Caenorhabditis elegans: one gene and its partners. The protein of the gene in region 2 purifies or fractionates together with the protein of the main gene of each other region. This does not show direct contact. Each region holds a gene or a part of one and is shown on either strand. Other genes may lie near its edges. The genes, in order: crn-1, nuc-1 and crn-4.

What was found.
Region 1: the proteins of nuc-1 (region 2) and crn-1 purify together in Caenorhabditis elegans (affinity purification with western blotting, with the first as the bait; one study listed by BioGRID). This does not show direct contact.
Region 3: the proteins of nuc-1 (region 2) and crn-4 purify together in Caenorhabditis elegans (affinity purification with western blotting, with the first as the bait; one study listed by BioGRID). This does not show direct contact.

Annotation. Positions count from the first base shown.
Region 1 is NC_003279.8:3,479,990-3,485,039, reverse strand, and holds crn-1 (Flap endonuclease 1), read right to left. Parts: upstream 3,044-5,050; 5' UTR 3,011-3,043; coding exon 2,921-3,010; intron 2,577-2,920; coding exon 1,869-2,576; intron 1,078-1,868; coding exon 926-1,077; intron 874-925; coding exon 675-873; 3' UTR 540-674; downstream 1-539. Other genes in the region: Y47G6A.9 (DNA-directed RNA polymerase III subunit), read right to left, coding at 3,691-3,855, 4,346-4,530, 4,812-4,995. UniProt on the Caenorhabditis elegans protein: Structure-specific nuclease with 5'-flap endonuclease and 5'-3' exonuclease activities involved in DNA replication and repair.
Region 2 is NC_003284.9:9,538,165-9,542,870, reverse strand, and holds nuc-1 (Deoxyribonuclease-2), read right to left. Parts: upstream 2,967-4,706; 5' UTR 2,926-2,966; coding exon 2,822-2,925; intron 2,773-2,821; coding exon 2,631-2,772; intron 2,336-2,630; coding exon 2,258-2,335; intron 2,102-2,257; coding exon 1,630-2,101; intron 1,089-1,629; coding exon 961-1,088; intron 871-960; coding exon 766-870; intron 721-765; coding exon 622-720; 3' UTR 542-621; downstream 1-541. UniProt on the Caenorhabditis elegans protein: Hydrolyzes DNA under acidic conditions with a preference for double-stranded DNA. Implicated in apoptosis.
Region 3 is NC_003284.9:2,255,217-2,259,972, forward strand, and holds crn-4 (3'-5' exonuclease crn-4), read right to left. Parts: upstream 2,886-4,756; 5' UTR 2,859-2,885; coding exon 2,823-2,858; intron 2,772-2,822; coding exon 2,670-2,771; intron 2,622-2,669; coding exon 2,543-2,621; intron 2,485-2,542; coding exon 2,222-2,484; intron 2,165-2,221; coding exon 2,006-2,164; intron 1,132-2,005; coding exon 874-1,131; 3' UTR 632-873; downstream 1-631. Other genes in the region: AH9.3 (uncharacterized protein), read right to left, coding at 4,125-4,208, 4,270-4,449. UniProt on the Caenorhabditis elegans protein: Possesses 3'->5' exoribonuclease activity in digestion of DNA and RNA. Cleaves nucleic acid substrates with efficiencies in the following order: single-stranded RNA (ssRNA) > double-stranded DNA (dsDNA) > single-stranded DNA (ssDNA).

The DNA of each region.
Region 1 (5,050 bases), on a different chromosome or scaffold from region 2:
CTAAGAATGCGGATAGCGCAACATATTTGACGCGCAAAATATCTCGTAGCGAAAACTACAGTAATTCTTTTAAAGACTACTGTACGGTTTGTGTCGATTTACGCGCTCGATTTTCGGAATGTTTTATAATTTCTTTTTGAATATCGATAGCGATTTATAATTTTCCTCCGTTTCTTGTATTATTTCGTCATTTTTCGCTAAATTTTAATATTCAATCCATAAATAATAATTTTACTAATTCATGCCAAGAATCGAGATCCCGTAAATCGACACAGTGCTACAGTAATCATTTAAAGAATTACTGTAGTTTTCGCTACGAGACATTTTGCGCGTCAGATGTGTTGTGCAATACGCATTCTCAGAATTTAGTGTTCCCGTAATAGTATGCATCAGAGGTAAGCCGCAAAATTTTTTTCCGGCAAATCGTCAAATTCCCGGAATTGAAAAATTCAAATTTCCCAAATTGGTCAGTCTTATAAAAAACCCTGAAAACTTCCAGCAAATGGGTGTTGGGCAAATCGGCAAATTGACGGAATTGAAAATTTCCAAATTTTTTATTGTTTTCTTAGCTTTGTGTGTTCCATTAAAAAAAGGATAAAGGTAAATAAAAACCTTATTTCGTTTCAATCAATATTTCACAAAAATCAAATAAGAAATTGAATAGTTAGTGTGAGCTACTTGGCTCTCTTCTTCGGTGGTCCACCCTTCTTTGCTCCCTTCTTCGCCTTCTCAGCTTCCTCCGCCTTTCGTTTTGTCGCAGCTGTCACACATGTAACCTTGGTCGAGTTTCCGAAGAACGAGTCAATTCGTCCTTGTGTTCCAGATTTACGGCTAGTCTTCAGTTTTGCCAACGCGTTTCGGATGCGCTCCTCACTGGAAATGAAAGAAAAATTAGATGAAGTTCATGAGGTTCATGGGGACAAACTTGAAGTTCTTCTCTCCGCACAAGAACTGAATGACACCTTCGACATCGGCTTCCTTCCATGTCAGTTCAACTTCTTCCGGTTTTGTCACTTCTGGATTGAGGAAAAGCTCACGAGCACGCTTGTATGGCCAATCCTCTGGTGGTGGGTATTTCTGGAATTTTTTTTAGAAATTAGATATATTATAGATCCGCAGAAAAATCCAATTTGAAATCGATGTGTTAACGCGCTCCACTGCTAATTCAAAAGGCTCCGCTTTCGAGCCAAAAGTGTTGTTTAAAAAATTCCGATTTTTCGGTTTTTTTCTAGAAGGAAAGTGAAATTTTTCGATTTTTTTTAAGAGAAAAAAGAAAATTTTCCATTTTTCGGTTTTTTCTAGTAGGAAATTGAAATTTTTCGATTTTTTTAGACAAAACTGAAAATTTCCGCTTTTTTTTGTCAGTTTTTTCACAAAAAACATTGAAAACTTTCGATTTATTTTTTTTCAATTTTTCGAGTTTTTTTCAGAGAAAAAATCGAAAAACGAACAAATTCATAATTTTTTCAATAATAAATCTTTAGGAGAAACAATATAGCTTTTTTTAAAGTTTGATGAGAAAAATAAAATAATTTTTCTCCAATAAATTGAAAAATGACAGGAAAATATTGGAAATTCGATTTTTTTTTTCTCGAAAAATTACGCTTGCACGCATAATGGGCCTCGTTAGCTATTTGGCGGCAAAACCGTAAGTTCAAAATTTGCTAATTTTTTATTGAATTTTTCGGCTTTTTTAGTTGTTTCCATTGATTTTCATGCCAAAATTAATTTAAAAAAAAAGGCAAAACTAAGTGAAAAATTCGAATTTATGATTTCACCGGCAAGTACCTAACGAGACCCATGGTTCGGGGCATTTATTTGCCGTGGAGCGCGTTTATAATAAAATAGGCATTTTACGAACGACGAACATTTTGATCGATATTCTCAAGAATCGTCTCAATATTCTTGTGCTGTCTGATCAGCTCAACAGCCTTCTTAGGCCCGACGCCTCGAATAGTTCCACAATAGTCACAGCCGAGAAGAATACACAAATCAATAAATTCCTCAACGCTTAGCTTCATTTCTTCGAGAGCCAAAGAAAGATTGAACTCCTTGATCGGGATTTTCTTGGCGACTGGAGCCAGGAAATGTCTGAGAAGAACCGTGGAGCCGAAGGTCAGCGCGTCCATATCCTCAGTGACAGTTCCGAATACTTTTCCAGCTTTCACGAGATGAGCACACTGAGCTTCTGCCTCGCATGGAGCCTCGACAACTGGAATTCCCATTAATCCCAGCAAACGCTTCGCCTCGTCGTTCTGTTGTTTTGTGACTTTTACGAGTCTTCTCTCGAACTTCTCCGCTTCCTTAACATCTCCCTTCTCCTTGGCCTCAGTCAGCGCTTTTTCTGCTTCAGCACGACGCTCGGAACGTTTTTCAAGCTCTCCACCCTTCATATCCGGTGGTTTTCCGTCGAAAACGTAGACAGGCTTCACTCCGTTCTCGAACATTCGAACCGTACGATTCAGCATTCCCATCAAGTGACTTGTGGTTTCTCCATCTTCACTTTGAAGCTGGGAACCATCTTGACGAACAGCAATGAGGAATTGGTAGAGGCACATTGATGCGTCGATTGCTACCTGAAAAAAAAACATTTTTTTTTGTTTTTTTGCTTGTAAAGACTCAAAACTCGTCGAAATTTAAGACATTTACCCGGAAATTTCTTCAAAATGTTCAAAATTATGTAAAAATGAGCCAATTTTAGAGCTGAAAATCTTCAAATTTTTCTGATTTATCGCGTCGAACCGATAAATCATTAATCAACAAAATAGCAGGAGATAAACGACTAAAATATTTTAAAATATGAAAATCAGACTGCGGCGCACAGAAAAGTAGACGAAATTGGAGATTTTCGCTTTAAAAAATTATTTTTTCGAATTTTTGAACCTTCAATTTTGCAAATCTAAGGAAAAAATTCCCGTACTGTTCTTCCGAAGAACGCCTTCATCTCGTTGACTTTAATCGCGGAGGGAGCATTATCAGCAATCACTTGGGAGAGTCCTTTAATTCCCATAGCGGTGTGGGGTTAGTCCTTGTGAATTTATATCTGAAATATTCTGAAATTGGGAAGTTTGTGGATTTTTGAGTGGAAAACGGGGGTAGGAAACGAATTACAGCGAATTTCGAAAAAAAAACACGATTTTCCTTTTTGTTCTCCAATTAAATAGGGTTTTTTAGGTTTTACCGAACGATATCAGTCAAATTCATGAAATTTCACCGAATTTATACGGATTTCGCCGCACTTTCCTGACGTAAAAAACGAAAAACCCCCGATATTCTCCAAGATTTCGAGAAAATAAGATGAGTATGAGATTGCGAAACGATAAATTAACAATTCTAATATATTTTTCGTTTAAAATTGATTAAAAACAATAAAATATTTGCTTAAAATTGTGTTTCTCACTATAAAAAACCCCAAGAAAGGATAAAAAATATCGGAGCTGCGTTCAATTTGGCGGGAAAACGGTGCGTTCAATTAGTTGTCCATGGAGCGCGATTGCGTAATCATTATTTGGACACTTTTTTCCTTGAAAAAACCGATTTTCTGAACCAATTGGTTAAATCTGAAGCTAATAACGAATAAAAGGGTTAAATTTAAGGGAAAATCAATAAATAAATTCATATATTTAACAATGATATTCAAAAATTGAGAGAAAAACAACAAAAACAACAAAAAAAGTGTCCGGAGATTCTTTAAATATCATCGGCATCCAAATTATCATCGCTACCGCCGTCCCCATATCCTTCTCCATTATCAAAGTAAGCCGAGATGTAATCGTTATCCTCCTCCTGATTGTCATCATCTGATAATGGATTCTCCTCCTCTTCTGCCGCGGATTTTTCACTGCCAGAGTCTTTCTGAAATTAAGATATGATTTTTTTCCAATTATTTTCATTAAAATGTAGTGATTTATCTGAAAATAGCTCCTATTTTAGTTGAAACAATTGAAAAACCACTCAAAAATCGTCTGAAAATTAGAAATTTCCAACTTTCGAACATTTTTTGAGCAGTTTTCCAAATGTTTCAACTAAAATTAAATTTTATTTTCAGAAATAAAGGGACGAGAAAACTCTAGATTCATCAAAAGATATGCCAATTTTGATGAGAAAATATTTTTTTTTTGCAATTCATGAGGAATAACCCGAAATTATTGAAAATTTGATTATTTTTCTCGAAAAAACGAAAAATTTCGATTTTTAGTTTTCTCGTCATTTTCCGTGCATTTCTTCTACTTATTTACTTCGATTTTTCTGAAAATTATTTTTCGATTTTTTCTGAAAAAAAAGTGCTAAAAAATGCCCTGTCCCATATAAAATGTCAAAAATCTGAAATTAAAATATCTATTACATCATTATCAGCCTTCTCATCGTCATCATCATCATCCTTATTCTGTGCTTCTTTTTCTTCCAATTTTTTCAACTTCTCCTTGATCATCGAATCGTCATTGGCGACTTTTCGTCGTTTTGCCAAAGATTCCTTGGATTTCGAGCTAGCTCGGCGCCAAATGAGCTCATTCGGCATATGGGACATATCTAAAATGGATTTTATGAATTTGAAAAGGTTAAAAAATCGCCTTAAATTCAGAAAAAGCGCTACAGAAAATAGAAAAATTCAATCTTTTTTTGGCTAATTTCCTCGAACTCTCCGACCAATCAGCATCTTCCAACTCCGCCCATTCCATCTGATTGGTTGAAAAATGGGCGGAGCAAATCGCTGATTGGCCGCTCTTCTCATTTAGCCAAAAAGTTGAATTTTCAAATTTTTTTTTTGTTTTTTCTGAAATTGAGACACAATTTCACCTAGATTTCCGTACCAATGCTAAGCTTTTCCCTCTTAATATTCGAATATTTATCCAAATAACGCTTAATTTCGTCGTCTTTCTCTGCTTCAATAAAGAACTGTGAATCACGCATTCGTTGATCAAGTTCAACTTTTAAACGGGATACGTAGAGCATGTCAGTCGTCATTTCAAGTGGAACGGGGTCATGTTGCACTTTCTGAAAAATACAAATTTCATTAAAATACTGATTTTCAAAGATTTCAAGTAAATTT
Region 2 (4,706 bases):
CCATTAGGGAATGTTCGACGTTTCTATATGAAAAGAATAATACGTGTTTGTAAGAAATTGCATAGGTTCAATGAACAGAGTGACCGTCTAATAAACAATCAATAATTTTTTGCACCTTTGGGGGTTTTTTTTTCACCCAACTACCAAATGCTGAATTGGAGTTTGATAAAGTATATATCTCCAAAACGTGTGGTTTTTTTTTGGCCCTTTTCACCTCGTCTTACACATTTTTTACCTACAGAAAAGTGAAATATTCACCAACGCTAAATCAATATCTTGCAGAGCAGTGCACATGCAATAACTGTTCACCAACTTGAAAACCTCAAAATAAATTCAAGTAATAATTACATGAAACTTGATGAAACACTTAATTCGATTTTGTTTTCAGTAATACTGTTTTTTTTTAAATGTGGTTATTAAAAGATAGTTATAATTTTCAGAAATTTCGTTTTCCAGACACACAAAAAAATGAGAGAAAAGTTTCCGTTACAATATAAGAGGTTCTGGCAATATTTGAGATTTATGACTTCTTTTTTTTTTTGGAATTCTGTCACACTAATTTTTTAAGAAGTACATCAATCATATTTATTTGTAGATAATCAAAAGTACATAGATGTAATTTTATGCACAATTATTTTGGGTTGCAATTACACTGTAGGCTTTCCAAAGGAACGAGCTGCTGATACAAGTAGTACCTCCTCCGCGTACATATTGAGATGTCTGTAAAATTTCACTTCGAGTTTTTTAACCATTTGTTTTACTCACCATTCGGTTGATATCTCCGATGCACACCCACGGCTTTGTCATATCAGCTGAGTGAGCCATTTTCGAGTGGTCTTTGGTGTATGAGAACGCGGTTGTACTACCAACCTACAAATCTTCTGTTGACAAACTGATTTCATCGAGTGACACAATTGCCACAAGACGGAAGGTTTCAAAAGGGAAAGTGTTGAAACTCACGTGAATTGACAGAGCATCATTGGCGTGGTAGGTTAGTTTGCAGTCAAGTGGGATCTCACTTCCACGTCTCCATGTTTCAACGACCAAATCTGTTTTCAGTGTTGGAGCCACAAGAGTATCGTATAGATCTGTAAAATAAATTGTAAAAAACGAAAACCATTGATTAAAATGTGGAACTTGAACTTCCTAAACCCCATTGCGCAATAATTCTAACACAAATTTCATCTGTATTTGTGTAGGTTTGAAAATCTCACAATTATATTCATGTAAATATGATGCCGTATTTTTTGTATAGTATGGCTACATTCACACTATTATTTCAAAATTAGTAATGCTAAATGTATTGTTGATTGTAACAAAAACACGGTATTTTTAAAATGTTTGAGAGTTATGAGGTTATTCGAGTAGTGTCGGATATTCAAAAAGTATTTTCAAACACACTTTTTGTATTATTCAAGTCACCAAATCATGCATTTTAATACAATTGTAACGTCACAAAGTGTATTAAAATACATTTCGCTAAATTACTTGAATAACCCCATTAGCAAACAATTAATGCACAATGATCAAAAATAGCTAAAGCATTGAAATTATTTCGAGTTTGCAGAGTTTTGTAACAAAAAAAGTTATTAGAAAAACCTTGCAATACGATATAATTTTGCTACTCACCTGCATTGAATTCCTTCGACTTGGCAAAATTAGTAAACGAATATCCAGCCATAGTCTCCAACTCAATAACGCTTTGGAATGGCTGTCCTTTTTGGTATTGTCCAGCGATTGCTTTAGCCAAATCTGCATTGTCAGCAGCCATGTTCGTTGGAAGATTCGAAGAATATATATTTGGTCGATTGAAGAAAAGTTGAGTTCCAATAGACTTCAATTGAGCGTACTTAAATGTCATGCAAAGCATTGTCTGTCCATAGTCGTGTCCACTGACTGGATACTCGTATTTCGTGGGATTTGGGAACAATGGCACACTGTGCACCAACCAGACTCCAGAAGTTCCATCAAAGAAAATGGTTCCCTTAGTATGTCCGAATGCGGTTGAAGTACTGTCATCTTCATGAGTATAGTTGCTATAAACTCTGTTGCTCAGAATCTCTTCCAATTTAATTCCACTTGTCGACTTTGATCCCCATGGCTGAAAGAAGAAACACTTGCAAATGTCTAATGGTTTCCATCTCTGCTCTCTGTTATCAGTTGTTCGCTCCAGGTCATGGTCAAGTGAGCATTTATCAATGCCAAATCAAACGATTCTGATGTTTCTGCAGCTGTCTGAGTCTCTATTTTCGCTTACCTCATCATTGTACATCACGTGGAAGATGGTCTTGTCATTCTGCTTGTCATAGTATTGTTGGAGTGTGTATGCAATTGCCTGGAAAAATTTCATATATACTCGACCTTGTATGTGTGAAAAAACTGTTAAACAGTTCTATTACAAACATTGCAAATATTAATCGAAATCATAAGGTCTAGATACAGTACTTTGCATGTAAAAAGATATTGAAATGCAATTTGAAAGAAAAAGTTTGGAGACAAAATAACTTCAGCGAAAAGGTTGTAACACTCTACTGCAACACTTCCGCAGCTGTACAAAAATATACTATTCAGTATTTTCTAAAATTTATGAAATTCTACTTCCTGAATTTTGTAATGAAAATTTTTCTTACTTGGTCGTTGTCGTCGAGAGTTTTAGCAGAAGGAGTCAAAGTTCCCTTTTTATTCACATCCACGTAGTACCATGCAACTCCACCTGCCAATCCTGTCACTGATCCATCATCTTTTTCGATTGGCATTTTGTACACTGCGAACCTAAATATCTACTTATTAGTAAATTATTTTTGTTTTGAAAATATATTACCAGTCAACATCGTTTCCCGACTGATCCTTGCAGGAGAATGCTGCATATGTTTGGGAAACTCCTAATAAGAGAAAAATCAGCACAGCGGCAGGAGACAAGCCCATTTTTCCGCTGAAATTTTGAAAGTTTCAGAAGGGAAGTGAGTGAGAAAACTGAAAACGTGCTCTTTTTATCAAGTGCTTTATCATCTCATTTTATCAGTTACTGCAAAATCTTAAATTGACAGTCAACATCAAACATTATCGGAATAACTTTCATTCATAAAAGATGAACAAAAAGTTGCATGACTGTTAAAGAGAATAATATGAAAATTTAGGAAAAGAGACCATCCAATATCAAATAGATTGTATATAATGGTACATATTGTCTCTTACCCTCCCTCACCTGGCAAAACGTCACAGGAACAGATGCTGCCTAATTCTTCTTGTCTCTCTCTCTCTCCAATGATTCCTCATTTTCCAATTTCCCAATTCACACTCCGATTCCTAACCTTTTAGCACCTTTCTAACCAATTTTTTTGCTATGTTTACTAAAATGGCGAACAGATGTTTTCACAGAATGACACGTAGGCATGTGTACTTTTCCTTGACGGAAATTGTGGTCGAGAAGAAAAAAGTGGGCAAACATTCAAGAGAACGAGGGCTGGTTGAGCCATTTGAAACTTGGAATCGTAGCGGTGTTCATATATTTTATCACGTTTCTGTTTGTTTTTTTAAACGAGTATTTATGAATTGAACATTAAGTAACGAACTAACGTATTTTCCAACGTAAAAACTATAAATGCAAGATAACCTTTTTGTTACAGACATAACTATCTCTTAAAATACAATTTTTTCTACATAGAAATTTTTATTAATAGACAAAAGTAAATGTGCTTTTCCGGATTTAAATTCTGCAAGAATCTAAAACAAATTTCATTTTGCTCCGCGAGGATGTGAAAACCATTGTCATTTTTTTTAATAACACAATACAATAGATTAATTGTTACAAAACTTCAAATTTCAAATCACGTTCATCATTTGCCTGGTGGTGATCCCACTGGGCTATATTTGTGGTTTAGCCGGGGACTGTGGCCGATAATCCAGTCGTGGATTGCTTTACTTCCCAATAGAGGCTCAGTGAACCTATTTAAGGTAATACGGTTACAAAACTTAACATTTTATCCAGTTTTTCTTCTTAATAAATATAAAAGATGTTGTAATGTGTATCCTGATTCCAAAAATAAGGTTTTACTATTATTCTTAATTTTTTTAAAATTAAGCGCCTTCACCGTAGAAGTGTAATATTTCCACTCACAAATAATCTGGTCGATTTTCTGAACATGAACAACGTTAAAAAAAATCATTGAATGCGGTTTCCTGAAATGGTTAACAATATGTACATATTTGGCGCTTACCTTTGAGAAATACTTTGGCTTTCCGGCAACATCGTCGTAGTTGCCAGGAAGTGTTTATGTCAGCTTTTCAACCGCAAAATATTGCCAGAAAGTTGTAAGCAAACAAAATTTGACTGAAAGTTGCCTCCAAATTTGGATTTTTAATAGTAAATTCAGTAGTAAATATTTTTTATGAGCTTAAAAGTACAAAAATGTTTCTCACGTCAAAATTTGTACCAGTAAAAACCATGTTGAAAGATTACAAACAAGTTCCCATCAAGTCAAAAATATTTTAACATTTTTTAGCGATTCATAATAATTTTAGAATTCCATTTTATGTCGGAAGCTGTGTAAATCAGCAAAAAAGTACAGCTTGCTTTTTTTAATTTTCAATTTACAATTAAACTCGAGCCTTATTTGAGCCGTCATCTGTTCCTTGTTTTATGCATGAAGAAAACATAATTTTTCATTATTTTTTTCTTCCATCAAAAAAATCAAGCAGTGTATTTT
Region 3 (4,756 bases), 7.3 Mb from region 2:
CTACTCCATCTTTGAATTAGCAAACAGATTCTAAACTCGAGAGCTTCAAAAAATTTTAGTAAAAGGTATAGGATATGCTATGAGCAATATATTAGAAACACTAGTTCTCAAATAGTTTGTTAATTTAAAAAAAATCCAGAAAAAATTTCAAACTTTCAAATAAAACTGAGTCACAAGCCATTCTTACTTCACAAAGTGCAGACAGTTAGTTTTCAAAAATCAACAGATAAGCTTTTTTTGCAGGGGGTGAATGAGCTAACAAAAAATATATATCTTTGCCGTGGGCTCGCTAAATGACTTGTACAAACACAGAGCGGGTCAGCATGCAAGCAGGAGCAACAGTCGGCAGAAAAAGTTTCAAAATTGTTTTAATTTCTTATCATTCGAGAAAATCAAATAAATCGGATTATCAATAGCAACTGTTAAATAGAAAGGGACAGAAACATCTATTTTTAAAAAAGTTTTGCAAAAATAGAGAATAGATATATTAAAAAAAACCACATTTTCGTCTCATTTTAAAAGTGTAAGAAGATACTGGAATGTGGTGAAAGACAATACGGAGTTGACGACGCTTTTCTGGCAATATTTGGCACGTCTATTTATACACTTTTTTAAATCAGTTTCTGAAGAATTGATAATTAAGAGTTTATATTAATATAAAAATTTGTGATAATTCAAAAGTCAAAAAACGTAATGACATGAGAAAACCCGTGATGGGCAAATACCGTAAAAATCTGAATAAAAACTCGTTTCAGAGTACACGGAGAGCTTGGAAAAAATTCCTTATCACAAGTAACAAGTACAAGGACAAGTAATGAAGAGATGCGATTTGAAAAAAAAAACTTGGTATTAAATTGATGATGTTCACGGATTCTAGTAGTAACCGGCAATTTTGGCAAAGTGGATAGGATCCTCCTCATTTTTGTAGAGATCATGTGGTGTCTGCTGATGACTTGTTCCACACACATCCATTCCTTTGCGGCAATAGCGGCAGACTCCGTACATCTCGAGACGAAAGTCGCCTGCGCGAATTGTAGTCACGACAAGTGGCAGGACTCTTTCGAAAATCTTTCCAGCGTCCATGAAGCTGCTTCTCCATTCTTTGTTGTAGACCAGCGGTTGTCTGCGCCACTGTAAGGAAAATAAAATTATACACCAGTTTCGAAAACAGTGGTTTTGATATTTTTAACGTCAGACTAATTTTTGAAGTGGGAGCACCAAAATCGGAGAATTCGCTTTTTGGACGCAAAATGGCCAAAACTACAGGTTAATACTTTTGAGTGGAGGGAAATTATTTATTTTCACCGAAGAGCTCAAATAAGGACAAATTGACAAAGCCACAACTTGCAGAAGGAATTTTTTATTTGATTATCACTTTTTGTTAAATATTTTCGTAATTTGTTGCAAGTTAATTAGTTGATTTAAATACATTTTCGGTCTATGGGGACACGAATATGATACAGTTTTGTGTTCCCATCAACCGAGCATGAATTTAAATCAACTAACAAACGAGTAATAAATTACGAGAATATATATTGAAGCATGATAATTTGATAAAAATGAGGCTTAAATCTGGCAAAATTTGTGATTTTAGCCTAAAATAAGTATGTTTTTGAAAAAAAATTCTGCACGTCTCGTTACAAAAAGCCTGTTGTTTTAGGCCGTTTTGGGTGAAAAAATAGTGTCAAGTTTCGGTGCTCCGTCTTTAATTCACCTAGGGGTGCAAAATTTACAGAGACTACAATACTAGTTTGTTTTAGTATAAAAATCCTTTGAAAATTATTCATTTTTCTTCATCGGCTCTACACGCATTAATGTGATTTTTCCCTAAAAATTGACGCTTTTACAAATTGATCTACAATGTTCGGTTAGTTTTTCAAAAAGCCAGTGCGGGACTACTAGGTCTTTATCTAATTTTGGATTGGTCAGTGTGGGCACTGGCATAATATTAGTTGAAGATAATAAAAAGGCTGTAAGATGATCTTCAACATTGATCGAAACTTACCGAAGCACAACAGGTCAGCAGCTCGTTCACAGTAACTTTTGCGCCCATGTTAATCATTCGCTGGAGAATAGTAGCAATATTCAGACAGTCATCCATGGCATCATGAGCACGTCCGATGGTTGGCAGATCGTAGTATTCGTTCATCTTGCCGATGTTGGTCTGAAAAGATTATTTATATCATACATTTTTTTAAAAACTATTTGCAATTGAACTCACCGTCGCAGAAAGCTCTTTGGGGCCCATTCGATCCATCTCATTCGTGAAAATCTTGTACAAATTGATGTACTGACGGAAGAAAGCTGGCATTTGGATATTGGACAGTTTCATCTGATACTGAGCAATACGCCACAAATCCTGACGACTGTCACAGACGAAAGCGAACTTTCCTTCTTCCAATCCAAGCGTGATGAGCCACTGCTGGAACTGCTCGTAGACCACATCAAAGGTGTCGGCGGTGTCAATGGAACGTTGCGGGATTCCTGAAAACTTTATTGTATTATGTATATTTATAAAAATAACCAAACTATAAAAACGTACCGGTAAAATCGACACAGTTCTTTGTCAAAGTCCGATTGAGAACAGGTTTGACGTACTTGTTGAAACTAATGTCCTCACGCTGAAAATTAACTATTATTAAATATTTTTAAACGGCAAAATTTCTCACAATTTTATCATTTGGGACATCATAGGCAACGATCGCGAACTGAATGACTTCGCACGGGTAATCTTGATTAGCAGCATCGGATGTTGTCTCAAAGTCGAGAATCTGAAATTGAAATTGATATTTTAGATGCACACAATTTTGAGCTGAACCTACCAATAAAGTATCAAACGGACAGTGTTGGTAAGCCATCCTGTATTGTGTACAGAGAGCGGTGACCTGAAAAATGTAGATTATTGGCAAGAAAAGATACAGAAAGAGTATAAAGAAAAGAGAGATGCAAAATTGAATTTGGCTTAGAATCGCAATCTGGAAAATCAATAATTGCAAACGACGGTCCAAGTGATAGGTGGCCAATGCGGACAGTGTTAACGAGAGAGAACGAGACGCAGAAAGCGAACGGCAAACTTTGAATATATGTTCGGATTACTAAGGCTTAGAAACATAAAGTACTGACGACAATTCTTAAACATTTGAGCTGTTTGTGGAAAACGAGAAGAGAGAAACAAGAAAGTCAACGCAGTAGTTAGATTCAGTATCTATTTAGCACTAATATCAAAAGTTAGAAAAAAAACTTAATCGGAAATTGGAAAACGTTGTTGCGAAAGAGAGCATGCAAGATTATGAAACTAAAAATGGATGCGCAACGACGTCGCAACGCGCGGCATCGAGACACAGGCAGCAAGTGAGCGGAGGTCACACACTTTTTTGGCGGGGGTCAAATCTCATCAAAAAGGCCAAATGACTCATCAACGCTGAAACCGTCCCTCCTCACTGTGTCTCTCTTTCTCTACGTCTCCGCTCTCTCTCAGTATGCTCTCGAACGCATTGTTATTTTGATTTCTATTACGCAATCGCCTCAAGATGGGAACGCCAACTTTTTTGGGGCGGGAAAATATACAGTTGATGAGTCTAGAATTTTATTGACAAACCAGCTAGTAAAGAGTGAAAAGAAAATAAAAAGAAAATAAAAAGTAAAAAAAAAGTAAAGAAAAAGTAAGGACTGACTCTGAAAGTCTTCCAGAGTTTTGCCAAATTCTACAAGTTGAGACGGTTGGGCATGTTCCACCGATACTTTTCATAAAAATTTAATGATACAATATAGAAAAATATTTTCTTTACTTGAAAATAACTTCTAATTAACTTCAAACAACCGAGAAAGTGTTCAAAAATTTTCCGAATGTTGAAAATTGCCGGTGAAAATTGCCGAACAATTGACGGATGATTTCTGAAGATTTTCCTAATTTTTTCTACTAAAATAAATAGCCAAAAGACATAAGATTTTATTGCAAAGTCAAAATTGATAAAGTTCAAAAAATGTTGTAAATACAAAACGGTCATTGGGGTACGTAAACAAAAATCGTTCACGCTTGAAGAAAGAATAATCGGGAACATTTTCAGAAACATTTTTTAAAAAACGTGTTCAAAACAAAATTGAGATCTATCACATGGAATATTTCAAAATGGGGGTCCTAGCATTGCATTGATTTCTGCGGATTGACGGGCACGACGGATTTGCTGGTTGATTTCTGTCAACAGATTCTGAAAAGGCACAAGTTTTTTATTTAGTTTATTACAAATCTCAATTAATGCAAACTCCCACCTGTAGCTGCTCGACAGTGTTGGCCATTGCAATTTTCCCTTTATAACCATCAATATGAGCTGTACTGGCGTTCAACTTTTTTGTGATAACCATTTGCGTGTATTCCGAGATACCTGGTTGGGCGATTCGCTGAGTAAGATTGAGATCGTCAAACTGTTTTTGGTAAGTGTTGATGGCTGCCTGAAAGTTTTCAAAAATGAGAAAAATTACACAGAACGAAACAGAAAGTAGGTCATAAAGTATTCTTTAAAAAACTTCAGAAATTCCGCGTCTACTCTAAAATACTTAAGATTAACTAATTCCGTAATGAGACCTTAGGAAAAGGTAGCAATTTTCACTACGGTTAAAAATTTAAGAAATTGGAAATTTTAGTTGAACTTAAAGAATTTAAACTACGTATTATTACAATTTTTCCAGAATATTTTCTTTTCAATTTGGTTTTTTAGACATTTAATTAATAATTATTATGGTAATACATGACATTTCA